Alligator mississippiensis: one gene and its partner. The protein of the gene in region 2 interacts with the protein of the main gene of each other region in a pairwise test. Links are inferred from orthologs where the notes say so. Each region holds a gene or a part of one and is shown on either strand. Other genes may lie near its edges.

Evidence for each region.
Region 1: the proteins of PLEKHB2 (region 2) and CDA interact in binary tests that used the Homo sapiens proteins (3 or more experiments, as listed by UniProt). The two-hybrid records come from large-scale screens. The link is inferred for Alligator mississippiensis from reciprocal best matches to the Homo sapiens genes PLEKHB2 and CDA.

The regions. Positions count from the first base shown.
Region 1 is NC_081836.1:5,532,227-5,541,473, reverse strand, and holds the start of CDA (cytidine deaminase), read right to left. Parts: upstream 3,699-9,247; 5' UTR 3,642-3,698; intron 2,942-3,641; 5' UTR 2,908-2,941; coding exon 2,721-2,907; intron 1-2,720. UniProt on the Homo sapiens protein: This enzyme scavenges exogenous and endogenous cytidine and 2'-deoxycytidine for UMP synthesis.
Region 2 is NC_081830.1:41,225,675-41,235,131, forward strand, and holds the start of PLEKHB2 (pleckstrin homology domain-containing family B member 2), read right to left. Parts: upstream 4,091-9,457; 5' UTR 3,992-4,090; intron 3,212-3,991; exon of another isoform or gene 3,020-3,211; intron 1-3,019. UniProt on the Homo sapiens protein: Involved in retrograde transport of recycling endosomes.

The DNA of each region.
Region 1 (9,247 bases), on a different chromosome or scaffold from region 2:
GCAGCTGGATTTGTTCCCTTTGGATTGTTATTGGTAAATAGGTTTTTCCCTGCCCACCTAGCTCCAAGTACCAATATTCAGGCACATTGTTGGGGAGTGTCTGCCCAGGCTGGCCCCTGCCAGAACGTGCAAGGAAATCTCCTACCTTCCTTGGTTTTTATTCACAGGAGGAGCAAAATGAAGGAGCTGGGAGTTGCCCTCAGCCTTCTCCATCTTTCAACAAGCCCTATTTCTGTTTTTTTAAAGAGGACTCAAGGCTTGATCTGTGGTTGAGTCATCTCTTCACCTCCAGTCCAAACTGGGAAATGTAGGTGAAATGTAGGTGAAATGTACCTACTGCTTCTTCTGTACCTTCGTGCTAACTGCTGTCAGGAAGAGAGGATTTATAGTTTAGTAGCCTACAAAGTAATCCCCATCTGGTCTCAATCTGTTGGGGCTTGCTCATGCCCAGAGAAAACCTCACCTAGCAAACAGAAACCAACCAAAAGCCAGTTCCTCATATGATTCAGTGATGTTCTCCTGGGCTTTCCCCACACCCAATTTATTTGCCAGCCTTAGAGGATTGCAAAGATCTGAATGTGGCCTGGGAGATAAGCACAGCTAGGGAGAACAAGATGGCTTGGACAGGCAGGGATGCCTTAGGGGCAGCAGGATCCTAATGCTGCAGCCAGAGGCACTGGCTGGCCAGCCACCATTCAGAAATCATCAGTATTTGTACTACCGCAGCACCTAAAAACCCCAGTCGCAGCCCCAGAACTCACTATGCCGCAAAGGGTGGTTCCAGCCCCAAAGCGCTTATCATGTAGGTATAAGACAAGAATCAACTGGTGAATGCAGAGAGATGGAAGAACACAATGAAACAACGAGATCCAAGTCAGGAATCTGGGTCCCCTCCTTGCCTGCCTTCCCAAAAATTATGAGACTGGCTTAAAAATCAAGCAATCTTTTGTTAAAAAGCAGCACATGTGTGTGTGGGGAGCGGGTGGTTTGTTTCTTGAAGCTTTGATCCTTTAGGGTCCTCTTGTACGAGCATTTCTCTGCACACACAAAGTTTCACATCACTGTTTGCCTCCGAAGAGCTTCAGCTTTTCAAACATAACAAAAACAGCGAGGGAAACAACCTCCCCGTTGCCACCACCAATCTGAGCGGGTGCACTGGACTTTCCAAAGGCGGGGATGCAAAAAAAGGCTTTCTTGTTTAGTTCCCTGTCCTAGTCAGTGCTGGAGTGGGTGGGGAAGCAGGTGAGGCCATTGTCAGAAAGAGGAGGTGGAGGCTGAATATGGATTGAAACTCAGGGTGCTGTTACAGGTCACTTCTGGGACATTTTACTTTTGGGGTTTTTACACGGTGACAAAGTGAGAAGAGTTTCAGAGCAGTCCCAGGTTAAGGCTTTATGCCCTCTCACACCTGCACAGCTGTGACTTGTCACTGGAGAGCCTGGCACGCAGGGGCCTGGCCAGGAGCCGGGGCTCTGGGGTGGGAAAGGAGGGGACAGGGGGGTTGTAGCTGGGAGGCAAAGAAACCAGCGTGCGGGCTCTGGCTTGGGAAGATAAAAGTCTTGGAGAAAAAAAGGCTGTTTGAAGTGAAGTGGGTGGCAGGAGAAGTAAAGAGAACGGAGTGGGGGGAAAAGAGAATACAATGAAGATAAATAAAGGACCAAAATTTTGCATGTGTTTCACTGAATTGGGATTGGGGCAGGGGCGACTTGTGTTAGTGCTTGCACCAAGGCAGAGCTGAGATCCAGCGGGCTCATTACATGCCATCCTGGGGCAGAGTTGAGACCCATCGGGCTCGCTTGCCACACCAGGGCAGCGCTGAGACCCAGCAGGCTCACTGCATGCCACGCCAGGGCAGCGCTGCGACCCAGCACCATGGAGGTAGTAGAATCGATTGCTGCTGCTGTTTGCACGGAGGTGCCAGAGCAAGCAGCAAACGGTTGAAGTGCATTGCCCCTGGGTGCAGAGCAGTCAGGGTCACACCTCTGGGGACGGGAGCGGGTTTCACCTTGCAGCCAGCACCATCCCACAGAGGTGCACCCTGAGATGCTGGAGGCATGAGAGAAGAGCGCTTTATCTCCCCAGAGCATTCGAACAGTACCCGAGGATGACCCGGGTAAAATGGTTCAAAGATAAATGTCACCTCAAAGCGACACAACTGTAAAACATTTAGAGGGGACTTATCACGGGCTAACACTTTTTAATGAGTGATGGCTTGCATGTTATGGTTTTAGGGGAACCTGTAACACCACCCTCAGCTTAGAAAAGACAGGTGAAATCTCGAGTCCCCCTGCAGCCAAGTGAGGTGACATCGGGAGATAAAAAGTAAGGATACAAAAAGCACAGAGCAAAGCTTTCTCCACTGTACTGTGCTCGTAGTACAGACCAAACCTTGTTACTGCACAGCCTGCTGCTTTCCAGACCCCGGCACCCAGCATCTGTACCTCTATAAGGCGTCACTCTGTGGATGTGAGATGTCTCTGCCCATGCAGAGGCACTTGGGTTGTAACTCTGTGGCATACTACAGATGCAGAGATACCCTGAGTTAGCTGTGAACATAACAGAGTCCAAAGAGCACGGGGCAGCCCTCTGCAGAGATCTCCAAGCCAGCTCTGCAAAGGGAAGCGGTGTAGCTACATTAGCTCAGGGGAAGAAGCTCTACTAGGCAGGGAAGGGCACGGCTTGACAAGCGGCTGAGATGTTACGGCTCCATCCTCACTTACCAGAGAAGATCCTCCCGTCACCAGTCAGAAGAGCTGCTCCCACTGGGAAGTGGCTGTAGGGACAATAGGCTGCTTTCTTGGCTTCCTTGCACATGTGCAAGAGGTGTTGGATCTGCTCGGGTCCCACCGAAGAGCTGGCACTGTTTGGCGGAGAGCCCTGGGAACAGTTGCCCGGCACCTGAGCCATGGGCACACTCAGGTGTATCCTTCCCTCTTGGTACCTGCAGCAAGGGAGAGGAGGAAGGGGATGTGAGCCAGAGCGATCGTGCAAGGCAGAGTGAGTCAGGTGTGTGAGTTGATGTCTGAGGGAATGACTCCCATGAATGACTCAGCGTCTGAGGGAGTGAGTCCTGTGTGTGACCTGGTGCATGACACAGTGAGTCCCATGTGCACTTGGTGTCCAAGGGAACGAGTCCCATGTGTGACCTGGTGCTTGAGGGAGTGAGTCCAGTGTGCACCTGGTGTGCAAGGGAGCCCATCCTGTGTGCAACCCAGTGTCTGAAGGAGCTAGTCCAGTGTGCACTTGGTGTGCAAGGAAACCCAGCCCATGTGCGACCTGGTGTCTGAAGCAGCTAGTCCGGTGTGCGCTTGGTGTACAAGGAAGCTCGTGCCATGTGCGACCCAGTGTCTGAAGGAGCTAGTCCGGTGTGCACTCGGTGCGCAAGGAAGCCCGTCCCGTGTGCGACTCAGTGTCTCAGTGAGCGAGTCCAGCGTGCAACTCAGGCAGCAAGTCGGCTGTGTGTGTCGGTGGGGCAGACTTGGGGGCCAGGCTGGCACCAGGGTGCGCTGGCAGCATCCCCACAGGCGAGCGCCGTGCAAGTGTGCCCTGCACTGCCTGGCCCCGCTCCCTGCCCGCCCGGTGCCTGCAGGGGCTGTCGCAGGGCACGGGTTGTGGGACCCCATCCCTCCCGGGCCCGGTACCTGGGCTGTCCGTGCCGTCCGGGGCAGGAGAGGAGCCGTCCGCAGCCGGAGCCCCGCCGCCCCCCCACCCCCGGCTCCGCCCCGGGACCAGCGGCTGCTGCCTCCGCGGGCGGAGCCTGCCCGCCCGGCCGGGGCACCGCTGGAACAGCCGCTTCGACGGCACCCACCGCTGGAACAGCTGGATTTGCGCCTGGCTCGACCACACCCACCGCTGGAACAGCCGGATTTGCGCCTGGCTCGACCACACCCACCGCTGGAACAGCCGGATTTGCGCCTGGCTCGACCACACCCACCGCTGGAACAGCTGGATTTGCGCCTGGCTCGACCGAACCCACCGCTGGAACAGCTGGATTTGCGCCTGGCTCGACCACACCCACCGCTGGAACAGCTGGATTTGCGCCTGGCTCGACCACACCCACCGCTGGAACAGCTGGATTTGCGCCTGGCTCGACGGCACCCACCGCTGGAACAGCTGGATTTGCGCCTGGCTCGACCGAACCCACCGCTGGAACAGCTGGATTTGCGCCTGGCTCGACCACACCCACCGCTGGAACAGCCGGATTTGCGCCTGGCTCGACCACACCCACCGCTGGAACAGCTGGATTTGCGCCTGGCTCGACCACACCCACCGCTGGAACAGCTGGATTTGCGCCTGGCTCGACCACACCCACCGCTGGAACAGCTGGATTTGTGCCTGGCTCGACCACACCCACCGCTGGAACAGCTGGATTTGTGCCTGGCTCGACCACACCCACCGCTGAAACAGCTGGGGATCCTAGAGCGGTGGAGAAGCAGGAGGCTGGAAGGGATCAAAGCCCCAATGCTGTACTTCCCCCTAGAAGCAGCGCCAGTGCACCAGTGCAGGAGTGGCTGCCCCCATTGCACGGCTCAGTTTCCCAGTCATTCAAATACAACGCAGCATTTTAAAGGCCCAGCTGGTCTCCTTGCTGCAGAATTGGGGGTCAGATTTGGGAAGGTCTCTCATCCAGCCCCCTACCCAGACCATCCCATCCAAATCCATTGTCTAGCAGCCTCTTAACAGCCACACAGGCAACCCTGATGCAGCACAGGACATCGAGCAGTGAGACGGAGACAGCAGCAGTGAACAGAGGGCTCCAAGACTTCAGCAGTGAGAGCCCAGAGCATGCCCAGCTCAGGGGGAGATACAGAGGCAGGGCCTCAGCAGCTCCTGCCCTAGCACCTAGAAGATATCAGGCCCTGGGAAACATAGCAACCAGCAAAGCTGGGGCTTAGCTTCCAGTTGGGACCTCTAGGAGCACAGTGATGCAAAGGAATAGCAGTAAAATGGGTTGTAGACTGTGTGGGGGAGAGAAGGTGCCTGCAAAGGCTTTGATATGCAGAGATGTGGCTGACAAGGAAAAGTCCCCTGGGGAGACATGTCTGAAATCATTGCATTGAGATTCTATCCAAGCCCACTGGAGCCAAGCCCGGGGAAGCTGGTCTTTGCGTCCAAAAGTTGCGTCCCTTGGACAACTCCCTCTAGCTGCCACACTGAGCCAGACCTGCCCCGAGCAATGCTGCAGTTAAATATTTCTGTGACCTTAACGGACTCCAGCCACTGAACTGGGTTTCACAACAAGCCTGGCATTGCATATTGTGACTGGGCAACACGACATGTAACAGGTCAGGGCCTGGCCCCAGCTGCTGGAGAGCAAGAGGTTAATCAAAGCTCTGTGTCCCCCTCCCTCAAAGGATGTGAGCGGTGGAGGGGGGACACTCAACCAGCCCCTCTGAGCAAGCACGGTGGAGCTGCATGCACTAGTGCAGGTGGCTATGCAAGGTGTAATAATGCCCAGGGAAAGGGCAATGGATCGGCTGGTTGGCATGTGGGTAGGGTGGCCATCATAGAGGACATTCCAGTTTTCTGCTATTCTGTCCTCTGTCCTCTATTGATATGAAACCTGACGCCTTTATGGCCTCTATTTTTCTCTTCAAGAAAAATAGAGTTGGTTTCGTATCAATAGAGGACAGAGGACAACTGGACTGTCCTCTATGATGGCCACCCTAGATGTGGGGCGGGATCCAGACAGGTCATTACAGGACTGGGAGGAACCTCTCCTTTTCTTCATAGTTTTCAGCTCTAATCCTTGAAGACACCTTGCTGATTGCAAATATATTTCCCTGAATCACCCTGCCAGCTTACACTGTGAAACGGGTCCCTTACCATACCTCTGTACCAGCCCAGTGACTTACCAGCAAACCTGTGTATCTAAAACACCAACATAGAAGTCGCTGCAATGATTGCATTGCTCAATTTCCCATTTACTCAAACACAAAGCAGAGGCAGAGCTGCCGTTCCAGGACAGCACCCAAGACAGCCCACTTGCTGCAGAAATGGGGTTCAGACTGCTACAGCGTGCCTGCAGACTAATGAATAGCACTGGCTAGTGAGGGGCAGTGTTGATCAGTAAATGAGATGCGATCCTGGGTGCCAGGGTCCTCATGCCACCCCTGCCACTGCCTTCCTTGCCTCCCCTTAGTCGAATCATATCTATTCTCTGCTCTGTGCCCTCCCCGTCCCGCTGTTCCTCTCTCTTGCTTGCACAAATAATATATTTCTGACAACAGCAAGAGTCTTGGACAGGGGTGATAAAATATCTTCCAGTAAAGTGTAAAGATTTTTACCAGCATGGTTACAACATCAACATTACCAGAAGCCTCCTCCCTCCCCCTTCACCCGGAAAAAACCTCTTTACTCACATACTGATATTTCTTGAACCAGCATGGCTACAATATCACTCTAATACTGCTTCCAGTGTTTTTTTGATGATTTTTTAAAAAAAAACAACCATATTTTCACTTCAAGCAGTCCTTTTTCCTGAAAAAAACTGGTTCTTCATCAGATATTTAAAACAAAATTCTGCCTGACAAGTGGAAGCATCACTGTTTTGGATGGAAAGTAGGTTTTCCACCAAAAAATTTGATGAGAATAACTCTATTTTTGCAATGTTATTGACATTTTCCACAGAAAAAATGTTATTTGAAGCAGCTAAAATCTGTGGCCAGGCCAAGGGTTTAGGCAGAATCGGTCACTACAGGGCTTTGATATTGACTGGTGCGAGCAGGTATTAGGGTACTGCCACCGATAATAATTCGGAAAAGCAGGAGCTGACCAATGCCAGCTTCTGGGCTAACTTTTCTCTCCTGGCTGGAGCACCTGCAAAATGATGCAATAAAAATAACCATCTAAATACCAGACCCAGAGCAGAACAACTGCATTCTTTGTAATTATCTTTCAGGGAAAATGAGTGCATTTATAATCACAGATTATGTGCCCATTGATTTAATAGGAGGAAAAGGGAATGTTGTGCGATTAAGATTGCATTGTGTGATTAAAATCCAGCTATGTTAAAAGCTGGGTGTGCAGAGTCATGGTGCATAGGAACAGGCAGGCAGGCCCCAGTGGATGGCAAGGGATGTGCACGTGTTTCCAGAGGTGCTCTGCATGGATAAGTGTCACCCAGGGCAGAGACAGGGTGGGAAAAGCAAGCCCCAGTTCTGCAGGCCTCATGTCAACACATTGCTCATTGGATTGGATCCTTCTGGATGGCAGTCTCATCTGAACCATCATTTCATGCTGCCTCTGCCGGTGGCAGAGTGGCTAAGGTGCCTGCTCTGGACTCCTGCCAGAGGCTGCTGTCAGTGGATCTAGCTATATGCAAACATCTGGCCATTTGGCGGGGTGGGGAGGCACAGGATGCCAGCTACATCACTCCCTTGTGTGCTGCTAGCTACAGACATGGGTGTGCATGAACCACACTAGCCCCATGGGCTGTTATGCTTGGGCAGACTTACATTTGCACTGGCTTGTGCTAAGCTGAGGTGTTTGCTCCATCACTGTGCACTCCTTGCAACACTAGAGTCCCCTGTGTGACACCACATCCCTTGCCGTGGAGAGGATGTTGGCACTTGGCCTCTGACTCGAGTAAAGAGGCTTGGGCTTGATGAACACCTGATTCCTGCAATGATTAACTAACATGCTCAGGAGCAGTCTGGGTAGTTGAAGTGACAGAGGAGAGAAGGGGTAAGATTCCCCTCCCTAGGGGGGGAAGGCTCTGGGTCCGGGGTCCAGCACCAGTGCAGCGAGCTCCCTTCAATATATAAGGAAGAGCAGAGCGCAAGGAGCTGTCCAGTTCTGGTGGCTGGTGTCACAGGACGTGGTACCACCAAGTGATGCTCTCCTGGTGATGGGATGCAGCATGAAGACGAGACTGGGCATGGACAGAGGAAGAGCTGCAAACAAACAGGGTGTCCCATGTCCTGCACTGAGCCCCTGATGCTGAAATACTTTGTAGGGAGCTGCTGGCTGGTAAGCAGCCCATAACACATCCCTTGGACCATTCACTGAACCTGCTGTTACCAAACAGCTGGAGAGACATGTCATCAAACGACACAGGTGACTCCAAGCTGCGGCGAGTCCAGCCGGGTGGCTGGATAATTCGGTGACCGCAGATGGCATTCACTTGCATGCAGAATGAGAGATGCCAATCTCGAGTAATCAACTCTCCTGTTTCAAGGCCTCTGCTGACTGCCTGAGAGACAGGTAGGATTTTTTTTTCTCCCCCTTTCCCTCCCCCCAGACTTTAAACTGTGTTGTGCAACTGGCTAAATGCACGGTGGGAAAGTTTCCATTTCACTTCCTTCTGATGCATTCAAGATCAGCTGCTACCAGGAGGTAGAGACCAGATGAAACAGGCCACTGGCTCAACCTGGGAGGCCAAATCCAGCTGGTGCTCTTCTTGCCAATGTGACATTTCTTCACAATCTTTCTGCCCCTGGAGGCATTGGCAGGCTCCTACGGGGAGAGTCACCAAGCGTGTAGCAGGCTCTTGGAAAGCGTGTGTCAGGATGTCTCTAAGTCACACAGAAGCCTCCAGTTCTTCCTCCCGGAGGGACCTGGTGCCTTCCCGCTGCCTGACAAGGACCTGAGCTCTCCTGTGTTGGGCACACAGCACAGCGGGCTAGTTGATATTACCAGGGTCGCCGTATACCTTGCTTCCTGCAACCCTGCCAGGGTTTGTGCGCGAGAAAGAGCACTGCAAGCAGGGAGAGAACTGTGTGCTAATGCAAGGGCAGGCTTCTTTCAAAGGGCATGCACTGTATTGATGGTCCAATTCTGCATGTGCAGACCTCCTCCTGGGAGGTCCTGAGCCTTGCCCAGGCTTCTCTGTACCTCCTAGGATAAAGCCCTCTCTTATTTTCCAGACAGCAAGCTAATTTCCTGCTGAAATTCCAGGCAGGTTTTTATCACTGATGTTCTTCACACAGAATGGCTTCAATGAGCCCTTGATGGGAGCTGCTAATGCTTCTCTGCAGCCTTTCACTCGTGTCAGGAGAGATTACAGGAAAACATTAACACCCTCCACTGCAAAGATGCGCTCCCATCCTGTTCCAGGCTCTCAGCGCCTCAGTGGCCTTTATGCGGCTGCTGCATATCTTTGAAGCAGCTCTTAACCCCCGAGGAAGGATCCTATTACCTGGCATGTCCAGAAAAAAAGGGAAAATGGATTTTTTCCCCGCCAAAGGTAGCTGAGAAATGCGGAGGCTGGAATTATTCATTCTGATGTCACACCCGTAGCCTTTAA
Region 2 (9,457 bases):
ATGTGCCTGCAGTGCGATGCTGCGGCTAGTAAAGCGACCAAAACACTGGCTTGCATCCATAGATGCTTCTCAAGCAAATCCCGGGATGTCATTCTCCCCTTGTACTCGGCCTTAGTGAGGCCGCAGCTGGAGTACCGCGTCCAGTTTTGGGCTCCACAATTCAAAAAGGATGTGGAGAAGCTTGAGAAAGTCCAGAGAAGAGCCACGTGCATGATCAGAGGTCAGGGAAGCAGACCCTACGATGACAGGCTGAGAGCCCTGGGGCTCTTTAGCCTGGAAAAGCGCAGGCTCAGGGGTGATCTGATGGCCACCTATAAGTTTATCAGGGGTGACCACCAGTATCTGGGGGAACGTTTGTTCACCAGAGCGCCCCAAGGGATGACGAGGTCAAATGGTCACAAACTACTACAAGATCGTTTCAGGCTGGACATAAGGAAGAATTTCTTTACTGTCCGAGCCCCCAAGGTCTGGAACAGCCTGCCACCGGAGGTTGTTCAAGTGCCTTCATTGAACACCTTCAAGATGAAACTGGATGCTTATCTTGCTGGGATCCTATGACCCCAGCTGACTTCCTGCCCTTTGGGCGGGGGGCTGGACTCGATGATCTTCCGAGGTCCCTTCCAGCCCTAATGTCTATGAAATCTATGAAGTCTATGAAATCTATATGATTTCATGTTATGCACCAGGGTAAAATGTATATAATTGTTCTCTACTTGGATACCCAGGTAGAAAGTAAATGGGAGTAATGTAGGTACCAAACAATTAAATGTCCATCCCTGGCCCTCCCAAAGCTTCATTTTTAGATGAAATACGGTATAGTCATTGGAACCAAATCAACATGGCCCATGGTGACCAGTGGCATCCCCCAGGGCTCATCTCTCAGGCCTGTACTCTTTAACATATTTATAAATTATCTGGACTCTGGTGTCAGAAGCGGACTGGCCAAGTTCGCTGACGACACCAAACTATGGGGGAGTGCGATCACCCTAGAGGATAGGCTGGTGATCCAGGCTGACCTTGACAGGCTCGCAAATTGGTCCGGTCAAAACCTGATGGCATTCAACACAGAGAAATGCCAGGTGTTCCACCTCGGAAGAAAAAACTCACATCACACTTACAGGCTTGGCAGTGCTACATTCACTAGCACCATGACTGAAAGAGACTTGGGGGTCATGATTGACCACAAGATGAACATAAGTCACCAACGTGATGCTGCAGCTTGGCAAAGCAAATTAAATTCTGGCTTGCATCTACCAATACATCTGAAGCAAAACCCAGGAAGTCATCCTCCCACTTTACTCAGCCTTGGTGACGTCGCAGGTGGAATACTGCATCCAGTTCTGGGCTCTGCAGTTCAGAAAGGATGTGGAGAAGCTTGAGAGTCCAGTGGAGAGCCCCACACATGATTAGAGGACAAAAAAGCAGGCCTTATGAAGAGAAGCTGAGAGCCATGGGACTCCTCAACCTGGAGAAGCGAAGGCTCAGGGACTTGGTGGCAGCCTATAAGTACATAAGGGGTGTGCCTCAGCAACTGGGAGAACGTCTGTTCACCAGGGCACCCCAAGGGAAGACAAGGTCTAATGGTCACAAACTCATGAAAGACTGTTTTAGGTTGGACATAGGGAAAAACTTCTTTACTGTCTGAGTCCCCATGGCCTGGAATAGACTCTCTGCGGAGGTGGTGCAGGCACCTGCTCCGGACTCTTTCAAGAAACACTTGGATCCTATCTTGCTGGGATCCTTTGACCCTAGCTGACTTCCTGCCCTTGGGCAGGGGGCTGGACCCAATGATCTTGCGAGGTCCCTTCCAGCTCTAATGTCTATGAAATCTATGAATTTGCAGTTAACTAACAACATTTGAAAAAAAGGTTCCCCACAATTACAGAACAGAGTTTGACAAGATCAAAAGTAAGTGGCAATCACTAAGTCAGTTTTACATAAACACAACTGATATACCACAGGATCAAAAAATATTTGAAACTGATTATTGATCTGAACAAATTTTTCAGTCATGGAAATCTAAAAGCAAGAATATAATGGAGTTCTGTAAACACTGGACCTGAATTAACCATAAGCAAGGCTAAAGAGGATGTATACTTCTTCCTCTGTTGATTATACACACTAGTATGTGTGTTAAGTATACACACTAGTATACATTTTTGACACACTAGTAACATTTTTCTCAGTAAGCATAACTGTGATCCAGAATTACAATGTCTCTTGCCTTAACTTTATACTATACTCAAAAACAGATTAAAAATAATAATAATGATAACCTTCCCTATTTCCAGCTATTGGAGGGCAAAGAAAATGACAAGGAGTTAATATAATTAAAACTGCAATGGCCATAAATCAAGAGCTGGATCTTGTGGGGCTCTTTGTGTGTGCAACAGTCCAGCCACAAAGCTAAGTCCCAAGGGGGCCTGTAGATGTGTGGGGAGGCTGCTCCGACATGCTGTAATTACAGTGTGTAAGAGCAGACTGGATTGAGTCTGCTGAAGCGTGCTAATTAGTGTGCTCCAGTGGCTTCTGCATCTCACGTACCAGCATCCTCATTCTTCAAAATGGCAGCGGGGGTACTTTAACTACAGCTTGTTGGCTGAGCTTTAGTTAAAGTGCCCCCACCACAATTCTGAAGCACAAGGACACTGATACACAAGACGTTGCAGGAGCTTTCATTAGAGCGGCTCTCGGAGCTGCTCTAATTAAAGCGCCCCTTACCTCTGGAGCATGTGTAAAAACAAACACCCCAAGCTACCCAGTTGGGTCCCCCAATTAGATGCACAGACATTTCAGTGTTGTTAACCACCCAAATGTTAACTCACACTTATAAAACTGCAGTATAGCAAAGACTGGCCAAAGCAAGACTGAGCTGAAAAGCCACACCCAGAAATGCCCATTTACCAGAAGATTGGGTTTGGAAGGATGCCAGTGCTGAGTCTCCATAATAACCAGCCCTCCACCACCTGCCTTTGCGCTGAGGCAGGATTTCACGCTTACCCCCAGTGTCTGTCCTTACCCTATCCTCTTTCTCCTTCCAGCCACCCACAGTAAAAGGTCAGGAGCCAACTCCAACTGTGACCAGTGAAACAACGGGGGTGCTTTGCCTCCTAAGTGTCCCAATCCTGCAGCTGGCTACCCACTGCGGTGGCAGCTCTCCTTCTGCTGACGTACACACTGCCTTGTGCCCAGATAACGGCTGGGTCTGTGCCTAAAATCAGAAAGGGCCAGAGTCATCCAGTTGAAAAACCTCTTGATGGTTATGACTCAGAGGGGCTTGGAAACAAACAGCTCAGAGAAACGGCATCCCGGTTTCTCCTCTTTCCAACCGAGGGGCTGTGCTTAGAACAAGCCAGCCGCTCTCTCGGTTAATCCTTCACGCTGAGTCTTGCAACCTGACTTTGTTTCTCCAGGAGCAGCCTGTCACTTCCCACTGCCGCCGGACAGCGACTCTGGCCGCTGCGCGGGCCCCGCCGTCAGCGCGACGCCCGCCTGCCCCTCGCAGTGCCCGGCCCCGGGGCGGCCAGGGAGCTGCAGGCCCCTGCGGCCTGGCACTCCCAGCCTTGCCCGCGCCTCGCACGCAGTCCCACGAAGCGGCCACGGCTGGCCTAAGAGCACGCGGGGTCGCTACTGCCCGGGGAGACGCGGGGCGGGGGAGGGCAGACGACGGGGCGAGGAGCCGGCACGGCCCTCGGGCGACGAGCTGGGCCCGGGAGCCCGGCGCAAGGCGGGAAGGCCCCGAAGTGCCCGTGTCCCCGAGCCGCGGTGGGGGCGGGGTCGGCCCCGGGCTGCCGCCGCCGCCACCGGCACGGGAGCGCTCGGGCACTAGGGGCAGGAGCCAGGAGCGGGCCCGGGCCCGGCCCCACGCAAGACTCCGACTCCGACTCCGACCCCGCCCCGGCCCCTTCCTCTTCCCCTTGGGCGTGGGGCGAGCCCGGCCGAGCGCCCCCGCCCCGCGCGCGCCCCCTTGCCCCGGCCCGGCCCCACCGACCTGCGCGGCGCCTCCCGGGTTACAGCAAGGCCGACGCCGCCCCAGTAGCTGGGCCAAGGGGGAGGGGGGAAATCCTCCCCTGTGACGTCAGCCCTCCTGTCATCCGTGACGCCATAGCTGCCCGACGCCGCCGCCTGCCGGGAGCTGCAGTTCGCTGCGCTCCCGGGCCGGGCCCGGCTCCGCCCCCGCCCAGCACTGCCGGGGCCTTGCTTGGCTCAGGGGACCCGCGCTCGCGCCGCCTGGCCCCGCGCACCGTTGCCCGACTCCTGCTCGGGACAGGCGTGCGGTCACTGCTCGGCGCTGGGGAACGCGGGGGCGAAAGGCCGGCGCCGTCGGGGTGTCCCGCAGCGGCCGAGCTGCGAGCGCCGCCCTGGCAGGCAGGCGCCCGCCGAGGAGCTGCGCGCGAGCTGCCGGCTCTGCCCGCTGCTTCTGTGCGTTTTGGTAGCAAGGCCCCACTCCCCAAGGAAGGGGTGCGCCTAGACATGTGAGAGAGTGACGCCCTTGGTGAGGATTATAGTCACAATAATGACACATTCGCCAGCTCTATAAGAGGTGTGCTTCCCACGCGGGCTCCCATGCGGTGAGCACCGGATGCCAGGAGGAAGGATGTTTGCTTTGTGACAAGGGCGCCGCCCTCTTTCCTGGGGAGACCGGGACAATTTTTAGGCAGGGTGTAAGTGACTTTACAGCAGGTCCCAAATCTATTAATACAATTATGAATGCTACATTATTGAGGTTCAGTTTGTGTAAGAGGAAGGGTTTGAAACGGACTGGCTCTGTTGTGGTGTTGGCTGACTGATGGCTGCTTAGCGAGGCATGAAATGAGTCATTTGTGGTGGCTTCCTCAGTAGCAGGTGTCGTGCCACAGAGTCATGTGTGCAGGTGTCCTACATATATAGTGCTCCTTACCTCTGGACGTGTAACAGGCATAGACTGGATCCAGGCAGTGGACTCTTAAGCTGTCGTGTGATCGTGACTCCTGCTCCTGGGCTGCTCCCATTTTGGATGAAGGCTCGTCCCATTAGAAGTGTCTACAAATCAAATTTGCATCCCAATTCAACCTTAGATTTGATAACAGCAGCATAACTCTCAGGATTGTGAGGTGGTGTCTCTGCTGATATAACGGTGGGAGTTTGAGTCCTGCTCCAAGCTCACAGAAAAAACTAGCCTCAGTTGACCAAGCTGTAAGTGGGCACCAGGCCAATCAGACTGAGAAGGCAAAGGCAGATGATTGTGGTATGTAGGCTCTGGAAGACCTTTGATCTTGATTGCAGATTTCACAGTTACAAATCTGGGTCTGCTCAGAAATTAAACTCACTTCCCAGGTCCTGTGTCCAAACATGGGTTTCAACACTGGCAAGTGCAAGGTGCTGCACCTGGGGGGGAAGAACCAGCAGCATACCTACAGGCTGGGGAACTCCCTTCTCGTCAGTGCAGAGGCAGAAAAGGATCTTGGAGTCATTACTGATGCCAAAATGAACATGGGCCGTCAGTGTGGGGACGCGGTTAGGAAGGCCAACCGCGCCTTGTCATGCATCCACAGATGCATCACAAGCACGTCCAAGGAGGTGATTCTCCCCCTCTACGCGACACTGGTTAGGCCGCAGTTGGAGTACATCCAGTTCTGGGCGCTGCACTTCAGGAGGGATGTGGACAACATTGAGAGGGTCCAGAGGAGGGCCACCCGCATGATTGGGGCAGCAGGGCAGGCCCTACGAGGAGAGGCTAAGGGACCTGAACCTGTTCAGCCTTCACAAGAGAAGGCTGAGGGGGGATCTAGTGGCCATTTACAAACTAGTCAGAGGGGACCAGCAGGCATTGGGGAGTCCCTGTTCTCCCGAGCACTACCAGGAGTGATGAGAAATAACGGTCACAAGCTGGCAGAGGGTAGATTCAGACTAGACATCAGGAGGCGCTACTTCACTGTCAAGGCGGCTAGGATCTGGAACCAACTTCCAAGAGAAGTGGTGCTGGCTTCTACCCTGGGGGTCTTTAAGAGGAGGTTAGACGAACACCTTGCTGGGGTCGTTTGACCCCAGTACTCTTTCCTGCCACGGCAGGGGGTCGGACTTGATGACCTGCTCAGGTCCCTTCCAACCCTACCAACTATGAAACTACGAAACATATTACCCACCCTTTGTTGGACCACCTCCCTGATTCAGTGCTTCAACAGAAATGCTCCTGTGTCTTTGTACGTTTCCTATGCCCAAATCTGCTTGCTAGACAAACCTCTCCTGTCCTGAATTCCCCCCTTGCTTTTTTTTTTTTTTTTTTGTCCAGAGACCTCAGTTCTTTTAAATGCCTTTCTCTTTTTCCTGCAAAGGATTTTTTTTCCCTTGCTATTTCCTGCACTATGTTTTTGTTGTTTCCTTTCCTTGTGACTCAGATTGCAGAGCCCTTGTTCTGCTGTTAGCTCTAATACTTGCTGTAACTGTTCAGAAAGTTACTTGTTTAATAATCCCAGGTATTTAAATGATCTCATGCTTTGTTGTTGTTTTGTTTTTTTAAATGAGACCAAAGTCATAATACAGTCCTTGTTCAAACAGGGCTCTTAAAAGCTCTCATACTTCCTCTGTATCTCTCCTCCATTCAGTGAAGGCATGGATATTCTTGTACTGGACTGCTGAATGGAATGAAATGCTCAGAGATCTTTCAGTAGTACCTCACGTCTGCACAAGATGCTGACTGTGAAGTAGCTGAATAGTACTGTACAAGAGCATGTCACAGCACTGGCAATACTAATACACTATTGCACAGTATTATTAGGCTGCTGCACAGTAGCATCACTTAAAAGATGTTCGCCAGCGCTACTGCTCATTAATTCCAGTTATTGCACATTTATTTAGTACTTGCTTATACAAGTGCTTATATGAGTACTAAATAAATGCGCAGTAACCACTGCACAGTAGTGTCTTGTGTAGATGCACCCACAGAGTTATAATTATTTTCATCTCGTTCAGCCAAGACAAATAATTAATATTTTCAAGTCCATTTCCTCTTGCATCAGTTGGTCCACAGCCCTATCAAACTGAAAGTTCCAGAAGGCTGAATTTACTGTTTGGTGAACACTCATTTGGGATGATTGAAAATGTGACAATATCTGACACCATGTCATGTTAGCCATCTCTTTCTTCTAACAGTCATAAAGAGTTATAGGATTTAAGGTGTGGGGGGACTAGAAGGACATTGTAGTCTGACACACATAGGACATGAGAGAGTTGTACTCAGCAATACTTGCAGCAAAGCCATAGATTTTGGCTAAATCAGTATAACCTTTTTAGAGAGATGCCCAGCCTTCATTTAAAGACTGCAAGTGATGGAAGGCTTTTCCTGGTTTAGTTTATTATGTGAACTGTTAGGAATCTCTGTCTAATTTCTGATCTGAGGCATTTGATGAAGTTGCTTCTTCAGGTGAGGAAAATGGTCATATCCAAAATGCTGTATCTGCTTCACTGCCAGCTTTTCTTGGGAACCTTTCCCTGCCCCAACCCACTACAGATTTAAAGACCAGAACTTATTTATATTCACAGCAATAGGTCCAGAAAGAGGTGCAGCACATCTTCCAGTTCAGCTGCTTGTGGAGAGCTGTTCCTTTAAGGAGACTTAAGTGTTATCTCACCAGTTGACAAGATCTTTTCTGGTGTTTAAAACTATTAAAATAGCAATAGAAATAGGAGTAATCTGCTCACCAGTGGGATACATTCTTCCCCTAGACTGGGGAAACTCATCCTGATTATCTGAGGCTCACAGCAGCTCTAATCTTTAGTGGGCTTCTACTGATATGACAGTTGCCATCTTGGCAGACACTGATCATTGGCATAGGGACCTGTGTAGTAGAAAGGGCTAAAAAAGCAGGGCCTCTAACTTGCAGGAAATTACATTTTTTTTAAATTTGGTTTGAGTCCAAGTCACACAGAAACAAAACCTGTTCTCATATTTTCCATGAATCAGGCACTCCAAGAAAATGTCATGGGAAGTTCCCAAATGAAATATGCTCCCTGGACCTTCCAGCTGTTCAGTGACTCTGGCAAGAAGGCCAGCTATCTGGGATCTCCATGTCTGGTGCTCTGGTTAAAATTGGAACTCCCAGGGATTTCAGGCTTTGCTGGAGGCCCTGGCAGAACTGACTGCCTAGGAGCTGGAACTCCTGGTATCTTTGACCTTGGCAGAGTTCTCCTGGCAGGTCTGTGTTAGGCCTGGGAACCCTGGAAGCATCAGGTCACAGTCTGGGTTCCTGGGTGTGGAGCATTCCTTTTGCTGCGTGTGCCACGGCACCATTGACCTTGAAAACATCAGGTTCCCAGCTGTTAAAAAGTCTGCATGGTATCCAGGCAGGATCCCACAGGAGCTGTGCCTTGGCTTTGGCACATGTTCGTCAAACCTGAAATGTTTTGAATGAAACATTTTGGGCCCAGTTAAGTGGCAGGAAAAGTGAAAAGCCTGAGTCTGTATAGCTTGAGCTAAGAAGCTAAGTTGTTCAGCTGAGAACTATTATAGACTCGCTTTCTTTGTAGATAGGGCACAGAGGGGGACTTACAGCATACCAGTGAAGCATGGAAATGGCCATTTCTGCTGAAACCTGAAGGATTTTTAATAGGTTTCATTTTCATCTTGCCTACATACATTCTAAACGTAGTGGGACAGTCATCACTATGGTGCATCATTCAGGGAAGATTCCTTTAACCAATCATTTAGAAACTTAACAGAACAAAAATATTTATACACCATCTAAATTAAAGATACTGGAGGCAAACTTCAACTAGATCTAATAGATTTACAATACCCCAGTTCCAATTTCAAGAAAAAAAAATAGATTTCTAAATGCCTACTGAGTGCTTGGTATCAAGAGATATATCAGAGGACTGATGTTTGTAAAAACGTCTTTGGAAACAATGATGACTGATTCCTAACCAGTCAGCTGTTTACACAATGCATTTTAGTTTCCTTCAATACATGTTAAAATTTTCTTGCCATCAACTACTCTTTTAAGTGTTTAAATTTCCCAGGTCCTTTCAAAGCCTCTTTGGATCCTTCTTATGTGGTTGACACCCACACTTCAAAATGTGCCCAGGCTTTTTATAAAACAGTATCCTAATCTGAAAGAAAGTAGACAGATGGATGGGATATATGTGCTGATTAGGGATACACTGCTATTACAGGTATTATTATTAATAGATGTATGTATAAAGTGCTCACCAAGGCTGCAAAACCAAAGTAAAGCACTGATGAATGCATAATAAAGTAAACCTTATTTAAAACAGAGAAAATATGAAGGAGTCAATTAAAGTGGCAGAGTAAGAGTCAGTGGTAGTCCTGGCCAATAGAGAACTGAGTAAGGACTTCAAAGTTCATCTTAAATTAATTATATGATTTCAACAATGGTTAATCTTGTTCAGGGCTTAGATAGCATAGTGATAGGCATTTGGAAATATTTAAGGCACTAGGAGATAGGATAAGAACAGAAGA